Linked DNA regions of Arabidopsis thaliana. The protein of the gene in region 1 purifies or fractionates together with the protein of each later gene. This does not show direct contact. Each region holds a gene or a part of one and is shown in the gene's direction. Other genes may lie near its edges.

Region 1 (4,866 bases):
TTTTTTTTATTTTCTTGAAATGTTTGACACTTGAAACCGTTTAAAAACTAAATATAGTATATATCATTGTTGGTCTCATACCTTGTAATTCACCACATATATTATCAATGGGGAAGATTTGAAAATTTTTGGGGGATCACAAAACGAAGGAAAGAGTACAAAAAGAGAAGGAAAAGATAGAAGATATATGTTTTTAACTTCATTGGTATGACATCAATAAATAAATAGTTGAATGTACTTTAGTTTCTCTTTTGGTTTAATGCACATCATCTCGATCAATTGTCATCATCTTACATTGAATTATACGACCAGATCTGATAACAAGTGAATTCGTACTTGCCCTTCCCTTTCTTCTCATACGTCCTTCTAACTAATTTTGATTGTAACTTATAATTATATAACCATATTTAATTTTATTTTATCTAAAACCAATTGAAGCAAATTAAAATATCATAAATCTTGAGTCCCACATGAAGACAATATATAAAACTCGTGCAAATTTGCTTAAAATGCTTCTATGAGACCATGACCAAGTGAGATTAATAAGCGATTCAATGTGCAAATCAAAAGAGAAAAGAAGCTAATGGGTTTAAATATAACCAAACAGAATAATAATGCTATGTTTAGTTTTTCTAATTGAATCATACCTTTGTGTCCATCACCTACTTACCGGTCAGAATAAAGCAATTACGTCTGCAACCAAAAAGCACTAAGACTTTCGGTCAGACATGATCTCTAACATCGGACGAACCCTAAGATAACCAAAATAAACTATATCTTATATTCAAATCTCTGTTTATTTTATCCATTTATGTTTTCTTTCTTTCCCATAATTTTTTTTGTGTCTCATCAGACTCTCTTACCAAACTGAATTTATCAACATGGTTTTTTTTTTGGCCACATCAAAATGGTGGTTTATAAAGTAGACTAATACAAAAGACATTTCTGTTAATTTCACTAACAAAAATAATCTTAGCAGTACTATAGATTGGAAAAGGAAAAGCAAATCTAGCAGTAAGATTTATCAAAACTAGCAGTAAGAGTTTTAGATATCATGAAAACATCACAAACGAGTAGTGTTTTACTTTACATTTTTAACCAATCACAAGGGTAGTTCCGTAAGTTGGGAAAATCGTACGAGGCTTCACCTAGTTAAGGTTAGGTCACATGATTCCCTGAACTCGATTTTATAAGTAAAAAAGAAAAATTTATAAAATCAAAATTTTTTATATAAAAAAATCAGGTGGATTTATCAGACCCTACCATCGAGATGTCGACACGTGTCCAAACTCATTCATTGCCCTACTATTTTCTGTTTAGGGTTGCAATCACTCATCGCACACGCGCCATCTCCACCTTCCATTATTAATCTCTCATTTTCAACATCACACTCTTACGAATCATACGATTTTAATATCTCTGTCTCTCTCAACGTATTAAATAAAAATGGTTTTAAATGTTAGGGTTTTTTGTAGGATTTTCAATTATTAATCTCTATAATTCGATGAACTAAGTAAAAAAGCATCAAACTTTCTTGGCAGAATCACATTTTTCTCTAAACTAAATATGGACTGAAATTGAAAAATTAAACCACTAGCTAGAATAAAGTGTTGGTGAGAGTGGAACTCTAATTTCTCTCCTTTACTAATTATGTATAAACACAAAAATGCACCAAATTTTTAGGTTTGAAAATATCTAAGCATGGATAGGGTAATTAACATTTTTTCTTTCAATTTTGCAATATTTGAATAAATCCTATGAGGGTCTTTGGTACACAATAATTGGAGGGTATATAGTTGAGTCTGAGAGTATATTAGAAAGAGAATATTTCAAGTAATGAAGCTGACATGTTTATATGTACTTTGAGAGAAGTGTTGTGAGATTTGTACAAATGTATATGTACACTTTAAAAAGCAATATAAGATAGATAAAAAAAATATAAAGAAAAAAAGAAAGAAAGAAAGAAAGAAAGAGAGAGGCTCATATATATATAGAATTGCTTGCAAGGAAAGAGAGAGAGAGAGATTGAGATATCTTTTGGGAGAGGAGAAAGAAAAAGAAAATGGGAAGAGGGAGAGTAGAATTGAAGAGGATAGAGAACAAGATCAATAGGCAAGTGACGTTTGCAAAGAGAAGGAATGGTCTTTTGAAGAAAGCATACGAGCTTTCAGTTCTATGTGATGCAGAAGTTGCTCTCATCATCTTCTCAAATAGAGGAAAGCTGTACGAGTTTTGCAGTAGTTCGAGGTATATATCTACTTTTGTATATATATTACTTATAACATAAACATTTTATATACATATTAAGTAACACAAAAATGTCTTGTATGTATGGGTCTCTCTGTGATGTGTTGTTGTGTCGTACGTACGTGTTCTATCATATCCTTTTAAAAGAAGCAAAGAGGAAAAAAAATTTGGGATACCCCAAATCTGTATCATTTTATAACAAGTTTGCTTTTTTGATGTTCTTTTGTGTTTCTCTTTGATTTCCATTTTTGTTTTTGATTTTTTTTCTATTTCTCTTTACATCTATCAAAGTTTTTTTTCTTATATTTTATTGCTTATTTGTTTGTCTACTTAATTCACATTATCTGAGAGAAGAACAATCTATCTGATATGAAATTAGGGTTAATTTCTCTTGTGAGTACTCTTTAATTCACATAAGCTTAAAGTTTCCACCTTTTGATTCTGGGGGTCGTCCAATTCGATCAAATCACTCAATTTTGTTGTCAGATTGATATAAGTTCATAGGGGGATATTGTTTCCACGACAATCCATTTTAGTAACCCTTAGGGGTTTCCAATTTTGGGTTTTGAATTGACGCTAATGTCAAATTCATCTAAAGTCCGTTGGATATGTATACTTGGGGATGGGATTCATCCTTTTTTCTGGGTTCTTTAGATCTTCTCTTAAAAGACTAACAGATTTTGTTGTAAACCCTAGGAAACAGTTAAAAATCCCATTTTTAAAAACATGTTTTGAACTTGATGAGTAAGATTAATGGAAGAAATGATGTTTTTGTGTGGTGTGAAGCATGCTTCGGACACTGGAGAGGTACCAAAAGTGTAACTATGGAGCACCAGAACCCAATGTGCCTTCAAGAGAGGCCTTAGCAGTTGTACCCAATTCTCTTCTCTTTCTTCTAATTACCTTAATTAATTACTCTCAATTTTTACTTTGATTTTTAGAGTCAAATGATTAATGTTATAATTTGTCATATACTTCAGGAACTTAGTAGCCAGCAGGAGTATCTCAAGCTTAAGGAGCGTTATGACGCCTTACAGAGAACCCAAAGGTAAACTAATTAGCTTCTTCAGCTACCTTCAGAGAGTGTTTGTTTTTTTAGTAGATTTTTTTGATGGTTTTGATGTTGAAATAGGAATCTGTTGGGAGAAGATCTTGGACCTCTAAGTACAAAGGAGCTTGAGTCACTTGAGAGACAGCTTGATTCTTCCTTGAAGCAGATCAGAGCTCTCAGGGTACTACTTTGTTCATCAATATCTTTATACACTGATCTATTTCCATAGTAAGATTAAATTTGGTGTTTAATTCTGCAGACACAGTTTATGCTTGACCAGCTCAACGATCTTCAGAGTAAGGTAAATAAAGAAACACTCATTCTCCTCTCTAAATTCCTCATCTAAAAGTAATGTAACCAAGAAAACACAAATATTTGGAGCAGGAACGCATGCTGACTGAGACAAATAAAACTCTAAGACTAAGGGTAATTAATATACATTCTCATATCACCAAATTAATGCATCACTAAATTTGGTTATAATGTGTGTGTGTATATACATATGTGACAGTTAGCTGATGGGTATCAGATGCCACTCCAGCTGAACCCTAACCAAGAAGAGGTTGATCACTACGGTCGTCATCATCATCAACAACAACAACACTCCCAAGCTTTCTTCCAGCCTTTGGAATGTGAACCCATTCTTCAGATCGGGTAACTTTAGACTAGTATAACCAATTTGATTTGAGTTCTATTATAAGCTTTTCTTAAGAAAGTATCTCAAACTACTAAATTTTATGGAGCAGGTATCAGGGGCAACAAGATGGAATGGGAGCAGGACCAAGTGTGAATAATTACATGTTGGGTTGGTTACCTTATGACACCAACTCTATTTGAATCTTTCTCACTTAATCAATCCCTCTCTTTTTTTTTTGACATTTTTAAGATGATGTTTCTATTTTATTACCTCTCTCATGTTTTCTGTCTTGTGTGCATGTGTGTGTGTAATGTTTATGCCCTTCTATTATTCAATAATTTTTTCGACAATTTTGCTTCCTATTTTTACCCATTACTCCTAAACTTCCTGATCCAGTTTCTTTTAAAATAACTCCCATTTTATGCATGTTATCTAACCAATTCTCTTAACTATGATTTATGGTACGATATAACTCACAGTCTCACACTATCTATTTGGTGTTTTTTTGTTTGAGTCTTGAGAAGGGACCGCTTGTTTATCTCTCTTGTTAAAGAGCAACTCACTGGCCACTGCTTATGTATCTGTAGGCCCCACCTATATCATTTTGGCTATATCTATACTTTTGTAGAGGGAGTATTACTATAGAGAAGAAGATAAATTTGGTTCTAATATATCTTGCAGGTAGTTGATATTCTCAATTATCATGAAGATTTGATAGACAAGTTTATCAGATACCTTAAACATAGGTTTAAGATCTCAATTGAAATGTGAATTCACCCGACGATTAGAGTTACGATCTAAGGAAGCGTTTCTTGAATTTTGAGTTTGTTTGATCAAGAGTAGAATGCTTTTCTATTACTAAGGTTGTTAATGCTTATATTCCATGACCAAGGCCAAGAGAACAAACAAAAACATGGTGCCTCTTGATGTA
Region 2 (7,842 bases), on another chromosome or scaffold:
GTTATGTTCCTCCAAACAAAGAGGTAAGGAATACCATATTTTGTACGATTTATTCATTATCATTATAGCTTTTATCTAAAAACAGAGCTGGCTCTCAATAATGTTATTTTCCGTCGGCCTTTTATATCTCTTCCTATCTTGTCTCTTCATCTGCATTGTGACCCTGCTATTGTTGATGACTTTACTACGCCTGTATTTCTCTTCCTATCTTGTCTCTTCATCTGCATTGTGACCCTGCTATTGTTGATGACTTTACTACGCCTGAACCGAAAGGTTCTCCGTGAGATGGACCTTTAAATCATACAATGACTACAGTGGTTTTGAGTTTTTTGATTATGCAGGACTGCGGACAGCCTGGATTTACACCATCTGAGAGAGGACGCTTCGGGGCAACTATAAAAGAGTATGCGTAATATGTCTTTGCACTGCGAAGTCTTAGTAGTAGTACTTTCTAGAATACAGATTAGAGTTACTAAACATGTGATTATAAATTATATTTATGGGAACTGTTACAGAGGAAGGCTTGTTGATGCATACCGGTATCTACACAAGGAGCAAGAAATGGAAAGTGGCTTCTCATGGTCGGGGAATCCCATTGGAAAGTGAGTGGATACTACACATTTTAGTTTTATGGCTTGGAGTCCAGAACCTCCGCATGTTTCTAAAGCTATATATTGATTTTTTGTTTTGGTTGCCATAGGTACCGGGGAAAGAGGATGAGGATCGACTATTTTCTGGTCTCTGAACAACTCAAAGACCGTATAGTTTCTTGTAAGATGCACGGTCGTGGGATAGAACTTGAAGGTGCCATAGATAAACCTGTTCATCACACAGATTCATAGAAGATTATTATTAGCTCTTTTTGCAACAATTTGGTTCTTGATTTGTTTCAGGTTTCCATGGGAGTGATCATTGTCCGGTTACACTCGAGCTTTCGAAGCCATCTTCAGAAATGGAACAGAACCAGGTGTCAAACTAAAATCATCTTCTTCTGTATTAGAACATAAGGCCTTCTTAGGAACAAGCCAAAGCTTATTTTATCAGAGAATTTAATTTTTACTTTGCCGAGAGATGCATTGAAGATTTGATTGAGGTTATTGAGACACTTATTTAGCCTTGTTACTCTGATGAACTCTCAAATGTACTTATAATTATTGTTGTGCTTATCTTAATATGTTTTATTTTCCTAAGAAATGTTGATATTTTTAATTGTGAATCTTCTTCATTTAATTATTTTTATTTATTAACTTTTGAGTCATTTCTAAAGATTTAGAGCTTTTGTTGGTGTATTTTAAGCATATTATACCCTTTGCTTTATTGTCTTAGTCAGTAGGTAGAGGCAACATTCGTTAAACCAATGGCTCATTCAAATTCTTTTTTTTGGGCTCATTCATATTCATAAAAATCAAATTTGGATTCAGCATAACAAACACAATAATATATGTAGACATTTATATCATACATTAATTTCTACTAATTTCATGAACTACCAAAGACTAAAAATGTTTAATGAGAAATATCTTTTTTAAAACCATCAAAAATTTTACTCTTAAAATTGGGATTTATGTTTGGTTTTAAAAAGGAGTTTTTGAATGTGCAAACGGATTTACAGAGAGGACAACAACAAATGTGTGTTAGAAATGGCAGAATCGTAAATAATAAGAAAATCATACCCTTTTAAAAACCATTTCTCTCTCTAACTAAGTGTTCTTTACTTGTTTTAATACAGAGATATCACAATCTCTTGCTCTGCCCAAACCCATCCCAACCCCCTAAAAAAAATACAATTTTTTCCTCTGTTTCTTTAATCCAATAAAAACAGAGAGACCTAAGAAACGAGATCAACAAAGCCCGTCGTTTTTTTCGAGGAAAAGTGAATGACCCTTTAAGAAAATAACTCTATTGGCCGGAGAAATGGTGGAGACTCGTCGATTCTCTTAAAGTTTGTTTTTTTTTCCTCTCTTCAAAATTTTTGTTCTGTTTATACTCTGTAATGGCGTTTTAATTTGATACCTAGAAGTTAAAGTGAACAAATTTTGAGAGAAAGTCTCTTTTTTTTGTTCTTCCCTGTGTGTGTGAGAGAGAGAGAGAGATATGGCGGTTTCAGAGCAGAGTCAAGATGTGTTTCCATGGCTTAAATCGTTACCGGTTGCTCCAGAGTTCAGACCTACTCTAGCAGAGTTTCAAGATCCGATCGCTTACATTTTGAAGATTGAAGAAGAAGCTTCTAGATATGGAATCTGTAAAATTCTGCCTCCACTGCCTCCTCCTTCCAAAAAAACCTCGATTTCTAATCTCAACCGTTCTCTGGCGGCAAGAGCGGCGGCGAGGGTTCGTGACGGCGGCTTTGGCGCGTGTGATTATGACGGTGGTCCCACATTCGCCACGCGCCAGCAGCAGATCGGGTTTTGCCCTAGGAAACAGCGTCCAGTGCAGAGACCTGTGTGGCAGAGTGGAGAGGAGTACTCTTTTGGTGAGTTCGAGTTTAAAGCTAAGAACTTTGAGAAGAATTATCTCAAGAAATGTGGTAAAAAGAGTCAACTCTCTGCCCTTGAAATTGAAACACTTTACTGGAGAGCCACTGTGGATAAACCCTTCTCTGTTGAGTATGCCAATGACATGCCTGGCTCGGCTTTTATCCCTCTGAGTCTGGCTGCTGCGAGGAGGAGAGAGTCTGGTGGTGAAGGAGGAACAGTTGGTGAGACCGCTTGGAACATGAGGGCAATGTCTAGAGCCGAAGGATCATTGCTTAAGTTCATGAAGGAAGAGATCCCTGGAGTTACATCACCAATGGTGTATGTTGCTATGATGTTTAGTTGGTTTGCTTGGCATGTGGAGGACCATGACCTTCATAGTCTCAATTACTTGCATATGGGTGCTGGTAAGACTTGGTACGGTGTGCCAAAGGATGCTGCTCTGGCTTTTGAGGAGGTTGTTAGGGTTCATGGTTACGGTGAAGAGCTCAATCCTCTTGGTGAGTATGATAAGTGTTATGTGTTAGTGACTCATAGTTACTCAATGTATCAATTCATTGTTCTGATTGTTGGCTTTGTTGTGTCTCTGTTCTTTTTGTTGCTTTTAAATGCTTTTCTTTCCCTCCAAAAGTTGTCAGGGGTAGAAGCTGTATGCAAGCAAACTAATTGGTTATGCCTCTTACGTTCTTGTCTTATTAGTGACATTTTCTACTCTTGGTGAGAAGACAACTGTGATGTCTCCTGAAGTATTTGTTAAAGCCGGAATACCGTGTTGCAGGTAATGGTTTTTTATGTTTGTGCTCTGTTTATCTCATCATCTTGTTGTTTGCATGTCTCTTCTTTGGTCTCTTATAATTGGCACACTTTTTCTTCTTCTGGTTTTTCACGCAAGTGGTTTTTTTGTATCAGGTTAGTGCAAAATCCTGGAGAGTTTGTCGTCACCTTTCCGGGAGCTTATCATTCGGGATTTAGTCATGGTGAGTAAGCGACCTATATTTAGTATCTTTAAGTCAACCATTCAAAGGCCTAGTATGTTGAAATAACTTATATTATCCATAAAAACAATCGTGGGGGTTGTACAGGATTTAATTTTGGAGAAGCATCTAACATTGCCACTCCCGAATGGTTGAGAATGGCTAAAGATGCTGCTATCCGGCGAGCTGCTATAAATTACCCTCCAATGGTTTCTCATCTCCAGCTACTTTATGACTTTGTATTGGCTCTAGGTTCTAGGTACTCTTTCTTTTCTATAGACACACTCAAACTTTTTAAGCTGCTTGAAGGGCTCATATAAGGTATGTTTCACTCATTGCAGAGTGCCAACAAGCATCAATCCCAAACCACGGAGTTCTAGATTAAAAGATAAGGCAAGAAGCGAAGGAGAAAGATTGACCAAAAAGCTATTTGTGCAAAACATTATCCACAACAACGAATTGCTTTCTTCTCTCGGAAAAGGATCCCCAGTGGCCCTTCTCCCACAGAGTTCCTCAGATATATCAGTTTGTTCTGACCTGCGAATTGGATCCCATTTGATAACCAACCAGGAAAACCCAATCCAGTTAAAGTGTGAGGACTTAAGTTCTGATAGTGTTGTGGTTGATCTCAGTAACGGTTTAAAGGATACAGTTTCAGTGAAAGAAAAATTTACATCTTTATGTGAAAGGAGCAGAAATCACCTAGCAAGCACGGAGAAGGACACTCAAGAAACTCTGTCTGATGCTGAAAGGAGGAAGAATGATGCAGCTGTTGCGCTTTCGGATCAAAGGCTTTTCTCTTGTGTTACATGTGGAGTCTTAAGCTTTGATTGTGTAGCTATCGTTCAACCTAAAGAAGCAGCTGCTAGATATCTCATGTCTGCAGATTGTAGCTTCTTCAATGATTGGACAGCTGCTTCTGGATCTGCAAATCTTGGTCAGGCTGCAAGATCACTTCATCCTCGTAAGTTACAGGTCGCACTTTCGGTTATTGGCTGTTATTTAGCATTTACTAACTTTTTTTCATCATGCAGAAAGCAAAGAGAAGCATGATGTAAATTACTTCTACAATGTTCCTGTTCAAACTATGGATCATTCAGTGAAGACTGGCGATCAAAAAACTTCAACAACTTCCCCGACAATAGCGCATAAAGATAATGATGTTCTTGGGATGTTAGCTTCAGCATATGGAGACTCTTCTGATTCCGAGGAAGAAGATCAAAAAGGCTTAGTTACCCCTAGTTCCAAAGGGGAAACAAAAACGTATGATCAAGAAGGTTCAGATGGCCATGAGGAGGCTAGAGATGGTAGAACTTCTGATTTTAACTGCCAGAGACTAACCAGCGAACAGAATGGGTTAAGCAAAGGCGGAAAATCATCACTTCTGGAAATAGCTTTACCATTTATTCCAAGATCTGATGACGATTCATGTCGGTTGCACGTGTTTTGTCTTGAGCATGCTGCGGAAGTGGAACAGCAACTTCGTCCTTTTGGGGGGATTAACTTAATGTTACTGTGCCATCCAGGTAACATCAAAACTACAAGATTCATTTTATTAGTATTTCTGTATCAGTTATGCAATTCTTTAGTCTTTTTCATCATTTTGACGCACAACATTTGCAGAGTACCCCAGGATAGAGGCTGAAGCAAAGATAGTTGCCGAAGAGCTCGTCATCAATCACGAATGGAATGATACTGAATTCAGGAATGTGACCCGAGAGGATGAGGAAACGATTCAGGCAGCGTTGGATAATGTTGAAGCTAAGGGTGGGAACAGTGATTGGACCGTAAAATTGGGTGTTAACCTTTCTTACAGCGCTATTCTCAGTCGCTCTCCTCTGTACAGTAAGCAGATGCCGTATAACTCCATCATATACAAGGCGTTCGGTCGCAGCTCTCCAGTAGCGAGCTCACCCTCGAAACCCAAAGTCTCTGGTAAAAGATCGTCCAGACAGAGGAAATATGTTGTTGGAAAATGGTGTGGTAAGGTTTGGATGTCACATCAGGTACTATTGTCTAACCTGAATCCATACTAATTCAGACATTAGTACACTTCTGTTTGGTTCAATTTGCTTTTCTTTCTTCAGGTGCATCCCTTTTTGCTGGAGCAGGACTTAGAGGGGGAAGAATCTGAAAGAAGTTGTCATCTTCGAGTTGCTATGGATGAGGATGCCACTGGAAAGAGATCGTTTCCTAATAATGTTTCCAGGGATTCGACAACAATGTTTGGAAGAAAGTATTGTAGGAAGAGAAAGATAAGAGCAAAGGCGGTGCCACGCAAGAAGCTTACTTCTTTTAAGAGGGAAGATGGAGTTTCTGATGACACATCAGAAGATCATTCTTATAAGCAGCAATGGAGGGCTTCCGGGAATGAGGAAGAGTCTTATTTTGAGACAGGGAACACAGCTTCTGGTGATTCATCAAATCAAATGTCTGATCCGCACAAGGGAATTATCAGACATAAAGGTTATAAAGAATTTGAGTCAGATGATGAGGTTTCAGACCGTTCACTTGGGGAAGAGTATACTGTACGGGCATGTGCAGCTTCAGAGAGCTCAATGGAGAATGGCTCTCAGCATTCAATGTATGACCATGATGATGATGATGATGATATCGACAGGCAGCCTAGGGGGATTCCAAGGAGCCAACAGACAAGAGTTTTTAGGAATCCAGTTTCATATGAGTCAGAAGATAATGGCGTTTATCAGCAAAGCGGAAGAATATCCATAAGTAATAGGCAAGCTAATCGAATGGTTGGTGAATATGATTCAGCAGAGAATTCTTTGGAGGAACGAGGCTTTTGCAGTACAGGGAAAAGGCAAACCAGGTCAACAGCCAAACGAATAGCAAAAACCAAGACAGTTCAGAGTTCGAGAGACACAAAAGGTCGCTTTTTGCAAGAATTTGCATCTGGAAAGAAGAATGAAGAATTGGATTCATACATGGAGGGACCTAGCACACGGCTTAGGGTGAGACATCAGAAGCCGTCGAGAGGGTCTTTAGAAACAAAACCAAAGAAGATTGGTAAGAAGAGAAGTGGTAATGCTTCCTTCTCCAGAGTTGCAACTGAAAAAGATGTGGAGGAAAAAGAAGAAGAAGAAGAAGAAGAAGAGAATGAGGAAGAGGAATGTGCAGCATACCAATGTAACATGGAGGGTTGCACGATGAGTTTCAGTTCGGAAAAACAGTTGATGTTACACAAAAGAAACATATGCCCAATTAAAGGCTGTGGTAAAAACTTCTTCTCACACAAGTATTTGGTTCAACACCAGCGTGTTCACTCAGACGACCGTCCTCTGAAATGTCCATGGAAGGGATGTAAGATGACGTTCAAGTGGGCTTGGTCTAGAACCGAGCACATAAGGGTTCACACAGGCGCTAGGCCTTATGTTTGCGCTGAACCGGATTGTGGTCAAACATTCAGGTTTGTCTCTGACTTCAGCCGGCATAAAAGGAAGACCGGTCATTCGGTTAAGAAGACCAACAAAAGGTGATTTAGGCTCTAACATGGAATCTATCATGAAGAAGATTACTCCATTGATCTATTAGAAGAAAATTGGATTGTACGAATATTAGGGGTTTTCTAAGTGTGTATGTCTCTCTGGTCCTCTGTCAATTCGGGATTATAAAGTCAAAGTCTTAACATTTGGAATAGCCATTGTTTGTTGCAGACGTTTTCACTTTCAGACAGATTCTCTCTTTGTTGTATTCTCTATTTTTGCAGTTGAATGAATCTGTAACAACAACAAATCCTGGTGTAGGAAAAGCATTGTGTTACTCAAGTATTTGACATATATGGTTGTATACGTGGCTTATCCTGGTTGGTTGACAGTCAGAGTTCATCGCCGTGGACTTCATTTGACTTTGATAAAGACTCAAACCTACCAAATTGCTAATGAATGACATTACCTGTGTCAACTAGGATGTAAAACTCTCTGACTTCAGCACACGGCACAAACGAAAGACCAAATGACTTAACATTTGGAATTGCCATTGTTTGTTGCATAAAGATTCATCTCTTTGTTGTGTTCTCTCTCGTCTTCTTCAGTTAGTCTATAATAACAATCCTGGTGTAGAGAGAGACTTTGATTTGATAAATAAAGGAGCTGCTTGTACAATTAAAAGCTATGTTGCATAATTATGAAATATCAAAATACGATAAGGACTTAGTTGCAATTCTCAAAGAAATATCTGAAACGCATAATTTTAAGTTAAAAAAGTGTGCATGAAATGTGAACTATTGGACCTTGTCAACAAATTAAAGCAACGGTTTCTTTGAGATTCTCATTCGTGACGCTATAAACGACAAATGTAATAAAGTATCCATAAAGGAAACAACTTTATTCTTCTTCTTCCACCCTTTGATCTTCTTCTTCAATTACCTCCCTGAAAAT

What was found.
Region 2: the proteins of SEP3 (region 1) and REF6 purify together in Arabidopsis thaliana (affinity purification with mass spectrometry, with the first as the bait; one study listed by BioGRID). This does not show direct contact.

Annotation. Positions count from the first base shown.
Region 1 is NC_003070.9:8,593,059-8,597,924, reverse strand, and holds SEP3 (K-box region and MADS-box transcription factor family protein), read left to right. Parts: upstream 1-1,826; 5' UTR 1,827-2,062; coding exon 2,063-2,247; intron 2,248-3,033; coding exon 3,034-3,118; intron 3,119-3,227; coding exon 3,228-3,295; intron 3,296-3,379; coding exon 3,380-3,479; intron 3,480-3,557; coding exon 3,558-3,599; intron 3,600-3,682; coding exon 3,683-3,724; intron 3,725-3,809; coding exon 3,810-3,952; intron 3,953-4,044; coding exon 4,045-4,135; 3' UTR 4,136-4,349; downstream 4,350-4,866. UniProt on the Arabidopsis thaliana protein: Probable transcription factor active in inflorescence development and floral organogenesis.
Region 2 is NC_003074.8:17,933,515-17,941,356, forward strand, and holds REF6 (relative of early flowering 6), read left to right. Parts: upstream 1-1,741; 5' UTR 1,742-2,094; coding exon 2,095-2,974; intron 2,975-3,173; coding exon 3,174-3,252; intron 3,253-3,383; coding exon 3,384-3,451; intron 3,452-3,532; exon of another isoform or gene 3,533-3,556; coding exon 3,557-3,707; intron 3,708-3,789; coding exon 3,790-4,412; intron 4,413-4,482; coding exon 4,483-4,974; intron 4,975-5,071; coding exon 5,072-5,454; intron 5,455-5,535; coding exon 5,536-6,942; 3' UTR 6,943-7,278; downstream 7,279-7,842. Other genes in the region: AT3G48425 (DNAse I-like superfamily protein), read left to right, coding at 1-23, 342-403, 516-602, 701-804, 894-979. UniProt on the Arabidopsis thaliana protein: Histone demethylase that demethylates 'Lys-27' (H3K27me) of histone H3, thus acting as a positive regulator of gene expression. Demethylates both tri- (H3K27me3) and di-methylated (H3K27me2) H3K27me.